Bombyx mori: one gene and its partner. The protein of the gene in region 1 interacts with the protein of each later gene in a biochemical or structural test. Links are inferred from orthologs where the notes say so. Each region holds a gene or a part of one and is shown in the gene's direction. Other genes may lie near its edges.

The links.
Region 2: the proteins of COPB (region 1) and COPD form a complex in vitro, tested with the Homo sapiens proteins (2 studies listed by BioGRID). The link is inferred for Bombyx mori from reciprocal best matches to the Homo sapiens genes COPB1 and ARCN1.

Annotation. Positions count from the first base shown.
Region 1 is NC_085119.1:987,179-991,466, reverse strand, and holds the start of COPB (coatomer protein complex subunit beta), read left to right. Parts: upstream 1-1,439; 5' UTR 1,440-1,643; intron 1,644-2,377; 5' UTR 2,378-2,378; coding exon 2,379-2,469; intron 2,470-3,082; coding exon 3,083-3,312; intron 3,313-3,586; coding exon 3,587-3,756; intron 3,757-4,016; coding exon 4,017-4,224; intron 4,225-4,288. Other genes in the region: E3 ubiquitin-protein ligase TM129, read right to left, coding at 1-140. UniProt on the Homo sapiens protein: The coatomer is a cytosolic protein complex that binds to dilysine motifs and reversibly associates with Golgi non-clathrin-coated vesicles, which further mediate biosynthetic protein transport from the ER, via the Golgi up to the trans Golgi network.
Region 2 is NC_085130.1:5,911,446-5,914,502, reverse strand, and holds the end of COPD (coatomer protein complex subunit delta), read left to right. Parts: intron 1-918; coding exon 919-1,041; intron 1,042-2,161; coding exon 2,162-2,330; 3' UTR 2,331-2,453; downstream 2,454-3,057. UniProt on the Homo sapiens protein: Component of the coatomer, a cytosolic protein complex that binds to dilysine motifs and reversibly associates with Golgi non-clathrin-coated vesicles, which further mediate biosynthetic protein transport from the ER, via the Golgi up to the trans Golgi network.

The DNA of each region.
Region 1 (4,288 bases):
CCAATAAAGTTGGTATTTTCAGAGCCCAAGTAGTTATCAAATAGCTGAGCAATTGTGAATCCTGCAGACACGAACTCGGTAGGCGGATAAACAACGCATATAGAGAATAGAACGTAGAAAAGTGTAACTAAAACATCCATTCTGATTTTTTTTGTATCTATTGATTAAAAAATTGATTGAAATACATTCCCAAAATGGATATAGGAGTTTATTGACAAAAGCTGTCGACTGAAAAATATCTAACGTATCACGGAAATAATTCATGTAAATCCACTAATATAAAATTGATCGAATTTCAATACAATTCCCACTGAATCGAATTTGAATTCGATGTCAATTAATGATAATAAAAATATATACTTATTCGGTTCCTAGGATAAGCAAAGGAAACACAGTCCAAAGCATTCTTAACTTTGAACGCAAAAGCCGCGCCGTTTTTTATGAAAATTGAAGTGTAGAGTCTGATTGTTTGGAATCATGTGAGTAATCTTGAATCAATTGGTCTCTTAATTCTATTTTATAATTTACACTACTCTTCTCCTTTGTAGTGACAACTGATATGTATTTTTTGTTACTTTTCCTTCGATCAATATAATAATATGTAGTTGGTGACAGTCAATCAAATTGATTTTCATCGATTTCTTTCAGTGATTAAGCAATTGAAATTTTTGAGTAAAACTCAATGATTTTAATTTCAATTGGATAAAATGAACCAAAACAACATCCCAAATAAATGCAGAGGCAATAAAATATTTTCCGAGGAAAATTATGGAAATTTTTTACGAGGTTAACTGACTTTTTGGAAAAACTTGAGAAGCCACGTCGAATGATAAACAATTTATACCTTCAAACATGAAGAAAAACTAAATTATCAAAATATAGCACACGTCTAGAAATATTAAATGGTGGTAGGACCTTTTGTGAGTCCGCGCGGGTAGGTACCACCGCCCCGCCTATTTCTGCCGTGAAGCAGTAATGCGTTTCGGTCTGAAAAGTAGGGCAGCCGTTGTAACTATACCGAGATCTTAGAGCCTATATCTCAAGGTGGGTGACGCATTTACGTTGTAGATGTTTATGGGCTCCAGTAACCACTTAACACCAGGTGGGCTGTGAGCTCGTTCGCCCATCTAAGCAATAAAAAAAATATATATATTAAAAATTTGAAAAGACATTACCTTACAGGTGGTAGGACCTCTTGTGCTTGTGAGTCTGCACGGGTAGGTACCACCAAAGCGCCTATTTTCTACCGTAAAGCAGTAATGCGTTTCAGTTTGAAGGTTGGGTAGCTTTTATAACTATACTGAGACCTTAGAATTCATATCTCAAGGTGGGTGGTAGCATTTACGTTGTAGATGTCTATGGGCTCCAGTAAGCAATTAACACCGGGTGGGCTGTGAGCTCGTCCATCTAAGCAATAAAAAAAATAAAAAAAACACTTAAAACGTCAAATGTCACTTGAGTGGCGTAAATGACATGTCGGTTTCTGGACACGTATTTGTGTATGAGGAGGAGCTAAATTAATAAATTGGATTAATTTATCGTTTTTTTGTGTATTTTAGTACATACATGAAGGATTATTGAATTATTCATAGTTCATTCTTATCGTGTGATTTCGTGGCCCAGTATATCTTTAACTCATTCAGGTTAGTATGAGAACAACATGTCACTGTATACCGGACGAGTAAACCACGAATTTTTAGGCAGTATCATATCAACACTCTATCGTGTTGATGCTACTGCCTAAAATATCTGCTAACATATGATAGCAAACGAAATATTGAATACGAATGATCGTAAATTACAACTATACTTTTAAAGCAATCTTAAACAATTGCAATTTTGATTTTCCAACTGGATCATTTAACTAGTAGGATAAACATAGAAAAATAAAAATTAAAGAAATACATTACTAACTAAATATGACCAAACACACACACACACACATTTATTTGCCCATAAATTAACACTGCCAGGATCGGGACAGCTGAAAAGTTGAGTAAAACACATGTTAATAATCTACATTGGCTACTCTTATTTATGATCTTGTTTTCCATAATTGTTAGATTATTAGTAATAACGTTAGGAGGTTTGCAACAACAGTGTTCTACAATTGTTCTGGTATCTATTATACTGGTAGTACTCTACAAACTGACATCCTTAAGGGCAATATGTTAGCTGATTCCATTAGTGTTGCAGAATGATGAACCAGCTCAAGTTTAGCTATGGCATTGTCAATGCTTATGACCTGGGGATCATCATTAAATGGTTTGAAGAGTAATTAACAAATGTTTTCTGGTTTTGAATAAACATGAATTGTGATTAGAAAATTTGCAGTTACAGTCAAATTATTACTAATAAATTTAAATGTTTAACTCAGGATGGCGGTTGTGGAGCAGCCATGCTATACTCTTATCAATTTTCCAACTGATTTAGAACCATGCAATGAGATGCAACTTAAACTTGATCTTGGTGAGTAGTTTTGCATAATTCTTGGTCAGTAAAAGCTATTTATTAGTGACTTGGAAATTACAATACAACTTTTTTCTTCCAAAAATGTGGTAACGACTTGGAAGTGTGATTGCTACCTTGACCCCCCAGTATTATGCATGTATACTTTTGGATCTGTGTTATTATTATTATTCATTACATAGGGTGTTACTGTACACCAGTAACTCTGATCTACATTAATTTGTAGTTTGCACTTATGTTATTAGTTCCTATTTAGACCTAAAAAGTCTGAAAAATATGCATTAATATGCTATGAATATTTTTTGAAATTGAGTAGACTTAGGAATTATGTTTTGCAAATGACTACTAAAAAACACATGTGTTCAGTATATAATAAAAACTTCTAAAAGAAATGTACTTCTAAAATGTACATTTCCCTATCAGACAACATAAAAATATTTTTATCCTTAATACATATTTGAAAACCCTTCAAAACGCTTGTTTTTGAAATAAAAAGTTTTATGCACCGTCTACAGTGGTAGATGGTAATCACAAATATTTTTTGTAGTAAATAAAATAAGCAACCTTGCCCCCAATGTTGACTAAATTATATTTTACATCACAAACTTTACAGAGAAAGGTGATACAAAAAAGAAAATAGAAGCATTAAAAAAGACAATAGGAATAATACTTTCTGGGGAAAAGATACCAGGTCTGCTCATGATCATTATTAGGTTCGTGTTGCCATTGCAAGATCACATGATCAAGAAGCTGCTACTTATCTTTTGGGAGATTGTACCAAAGACCTCACCTGATGGAAAATTATTGCAGGAAATGATCCTTGTCTGTGATGCCTATAGAAAGGTTAGGGTGACAATCATATTTTTGCCTTTTTGAAGTGATTATTTCCAAGAAAATTAGTATGAAACTGTCTCTATTTTGTCAGAGAATTGTAGCTGCGTTCAAATCTCATAGCTATTTATGCATTTTAGAGTCTACTGTTTCAAAATTTAACTGTAAACAAACAGTATTTGATTTTAATAACTTTTAAAAATGTGTTCTTTATAATTTTATTAATTTACTAGTTAATCATCCTACCACTGTGATTTGAGTGTAACAGTATTTAAATCGACTATAGGATCTTCAACATCCAAATGAGTTCATTCGCGGATCTACTCTGCGTTTTCTGTGCAAGCTGAAAGAGCCTGAACTCCTTGAACCCCTAATGCCAGCCATACGGTCCTGTCTCGAGCACAGACATTCGTATGTCAGGAGGAATGCTGTTCTTGCTATTTTTACCATATATAGGTGAGGAATATATAAAATCTAAATTCATTTGTAAAGTTAATCAACCACAGGAAGTCTTATAATATATGATGATATAAAAAAATAATATGGATCTTGTAATTGCAAAACTTAAAACTGGTTATAGCTATATTAAGATTAAGAGGTATATTAATATATTATCTTCTATCAATAAAATAGATCAAATAGGAAATGCCCTGGGAATTCATCTGTAACAATTAAATGTTATTCATAATATATCAGTATTAAAATTTTCCTTTTAGGAACTTTGAATTCCTAATTCCTGATGCACCGGAGCTGGTAGCAAACTTCCTGGAGACTGAGCAAGACATGTCTTGCAAGCGTAATGCCTTCCTCATGCTGCTGCATGCTGACCAAGAGCGTGCTTTGACATATTTGTCTTCTAGGCTCGATAATGTACACAGCTTTGGAGATATTCTTCAATTGGTCATAGTCGAGTTGATTTATAAGGTTAGTGTCCTAATATTGAAATACACAAAAAATATATGTGTGGGTTGAAAGATAAAAGATAGAT
Region 2 (3,057 bases), on another chromosome or scaffold:
TAGGTGCAATGAAATTTATATTAAGTTGAAAATACATACAGAAAAAAGTATATACATAAATACATACAATGACATATACATATACATACATACACACATATATAATATATACATGTAGTAGTAGTGTTAACTATGAATATTTTGGGAGGCTTAAACGACAAAGGGAAGATCTTCCACCGAGCGGGTGATATTTCTCGGTAGACCGACGGTCCGAAAGTTGTTGTTCGGAACTTGTATGTATGTGAGCTTATCTGGAAAATGTCGTCAGCGAGATTCAGGCATCTGTAAAATATATTTTTTAAGGGATTTTATGACCTGGTAACTGAGACCTTTAAGTCATGTCTTATTTTAATTTATATTCATATTTTTATGAAAAATGATATTATGGAGTGAAATGAAATGAAGATGGTTAATTTGAGACATTAATCAACTGGGATGAAATTAAATGAGATGATATGGGATGAAATATAATCTCAGTAAAATGGTGGTCATTTACTAAGATTTTTTCAGTGGACTTTTTGGAGGATCCGGAGACGTTACGTACAGCGGCTTTGTTTCATTTCCCACATTTGTGCACTTTCACAGATATTAAACAATTAATAAACCACTATTATTACACATCTAAACCTGAACAAACAGTAAATAGACAAAATAAAACAAATCACACAACTTCACTTCTCGCGTTCCCGCCAAAAAGTCCTCTGTCAAATATTTTGCGTTGTATGATGGCTACCCGCCACAAATATGAACTCATATTAGTAGTGTTAACTACGAATCAGATTGTGGGTATTTTGAAAAAAAAACCTCATGTTTCTGTTTTACGCTGCTAATTATGTTGAAATCAGTTTTGCAATCAAAACTCCTTAACTCGCTATTTTGGATTTCACTGTTCTAATTTAAAAGGTGGCATTATTTCAGTTCTGGCAACACTTCGGTGGTGGTGCACCAGTGGGAGGGTAGCTACACGCAGAAGGGACGCAACCTCATCTGGAGCATTCCGCTCGTGAGCAAACAACAGAAAACCGGGAGTCTTGAGTTCACGTGAGTTTTGACTACCCTCCCTAAGGAACGTGGATCTCCATAATGATTTGGAGCTTGATTCAGTATTTACAGTCGTCATCATTGCGCCACTTTGAGAAGGCGGCACGACATGAGAACCCTCTTGTCGTGGCTTTTATTTTATTTTCATTGCTTAGAAGTGTGGACGAGCTCACAGCCCACCTGGTGTTAAGTGGTTGCTGGAAACCATGGACATCTACAACGTAAATACCGCCACCCACCTTGAGATATAAGTTCTAAGGTCTCAGTATAGTTACAACGGCTGTCCCACCCTGCAAACCGAAACGCATTACTGCTTCACGGCAGAAATAGACAGGGAGGTGGTACCTACCGTACCGTGCGGACTTACAAGACGTCTTACCACCAGTAATATATGTTAATCCGTGATCCGTGATCCACACCGAGCTGTAGACTAACCATTTGATTTTTATTAAACATTAATTTCCCTCTTTTAATTTTATTTTTATTGTTGATTGTTTTTTGTAAGTTTTTATATGCAGTTTTTGTTTTCTTTGTCTTAGTTTTATTAATATTAGTTGTCGATATTTTTATCTTAAGCACAACCGCTCTTTAAAGCAAGATGTGTTCACATCCAAAAGGGTGAATTCTACAATATATTTTTTTCCAAATAAGTTCAATGTTTATCTATGCAGGTTTTATCCAGTTGTGTGAAGTTAACAATAAAAAAATAAAAAAAAATACATGTCTGCAATTCACACGTGGTAGAAGTGAAACCTTCCAAAATTAAAATACAATTATCCTAAACGTCCTAAATTTTGTCATTAGTAAATAATTGTAAGGTAGCGCCCTCTGTGAATTGATATTTTAATTTCACGTATAATCCTAAATTAAAATTCACTACAAGAGCTTTCATACACACGTTAGTATTAAAAAATCTCACAGATGGCGCTGTATTAAATAGTATATATATTTCTGTCTCATTCTTTGCTGGCTTCATCCTACACATTTTTGTATTTGTGTCTCTTACCTGTCGTTTTTTCCGTTGCATCCGGTTTGAAATCACAACGATTCTAAAGAAGTTTTCACTTCAAAAGAAACATTGAGATAGGAGTTGATTCCATCAAACGTTTTACATTCACAGCGTCACTCCGTCTATACCCAACGACTTCTTCCCGCTCTCCGTGACGTGGACATCGGAAACTTCACTTGCATTATTGACAGCTGTCAAAGTGACGCAAGCGGAAGACGGGTCGCCCGTTGACTTCTCTCAAGAGATCAGTTTCCACGCAGACAAATACGAGTTTGTTTAAACAAATTATTAGTTGTTTTATTTTTTCTTCGTATAGTGGGAAACATTATGTGAATTTATTTTTAATGATTAAAAAAACCCTGCATTATTTGTGTATCGGTAATAAATATATATTGTAAATTAAGACAATGTTTGATTTTACGAATGTGTTTGTTGAAGTGCATTGTTTTGAAATTTTAAAGTTACTGGCAATCAATAAAATCATAGAAGAATATTGTAGATTAAGCGAAAGACACGTTGGTATGTAAAAGTTGATCCAAAAAAATAAACCCGGAGTAATGGAAATTCAACTCTGTGCTGTCGGTGTTTAAAGTTCATTTTAATATTGTGTCAATAACACTATACACATTGCTTAAGATGCTATGCTCATCTACTATCAAGTAGAATGCGTTCTCGAAACATCTTACCAACATTACCGTGAGGGTAGATTGGAAATTTATAAAAGCCTATAATAACTACACGATATATAGCCAGAGATGTAAAGTAACATTGTAGAATTTATTAAATAAATAAAAAATATAAAACAAACAACTGAATTTGTAGTTTTTCTTTTATTGCTGAAACGAATGAATGAGCACGCGGTAAGCCCGATGTTAAGTGAGCACTGGGGCCCATAGGCATCAACAACGTAAATGCCGCATCGACCTTGTCAATTTGACCGATGCATTTGTGAAATCTTTATGCATTACCTAAGCACTAATCACTACATTCATCGATATATTACTTAT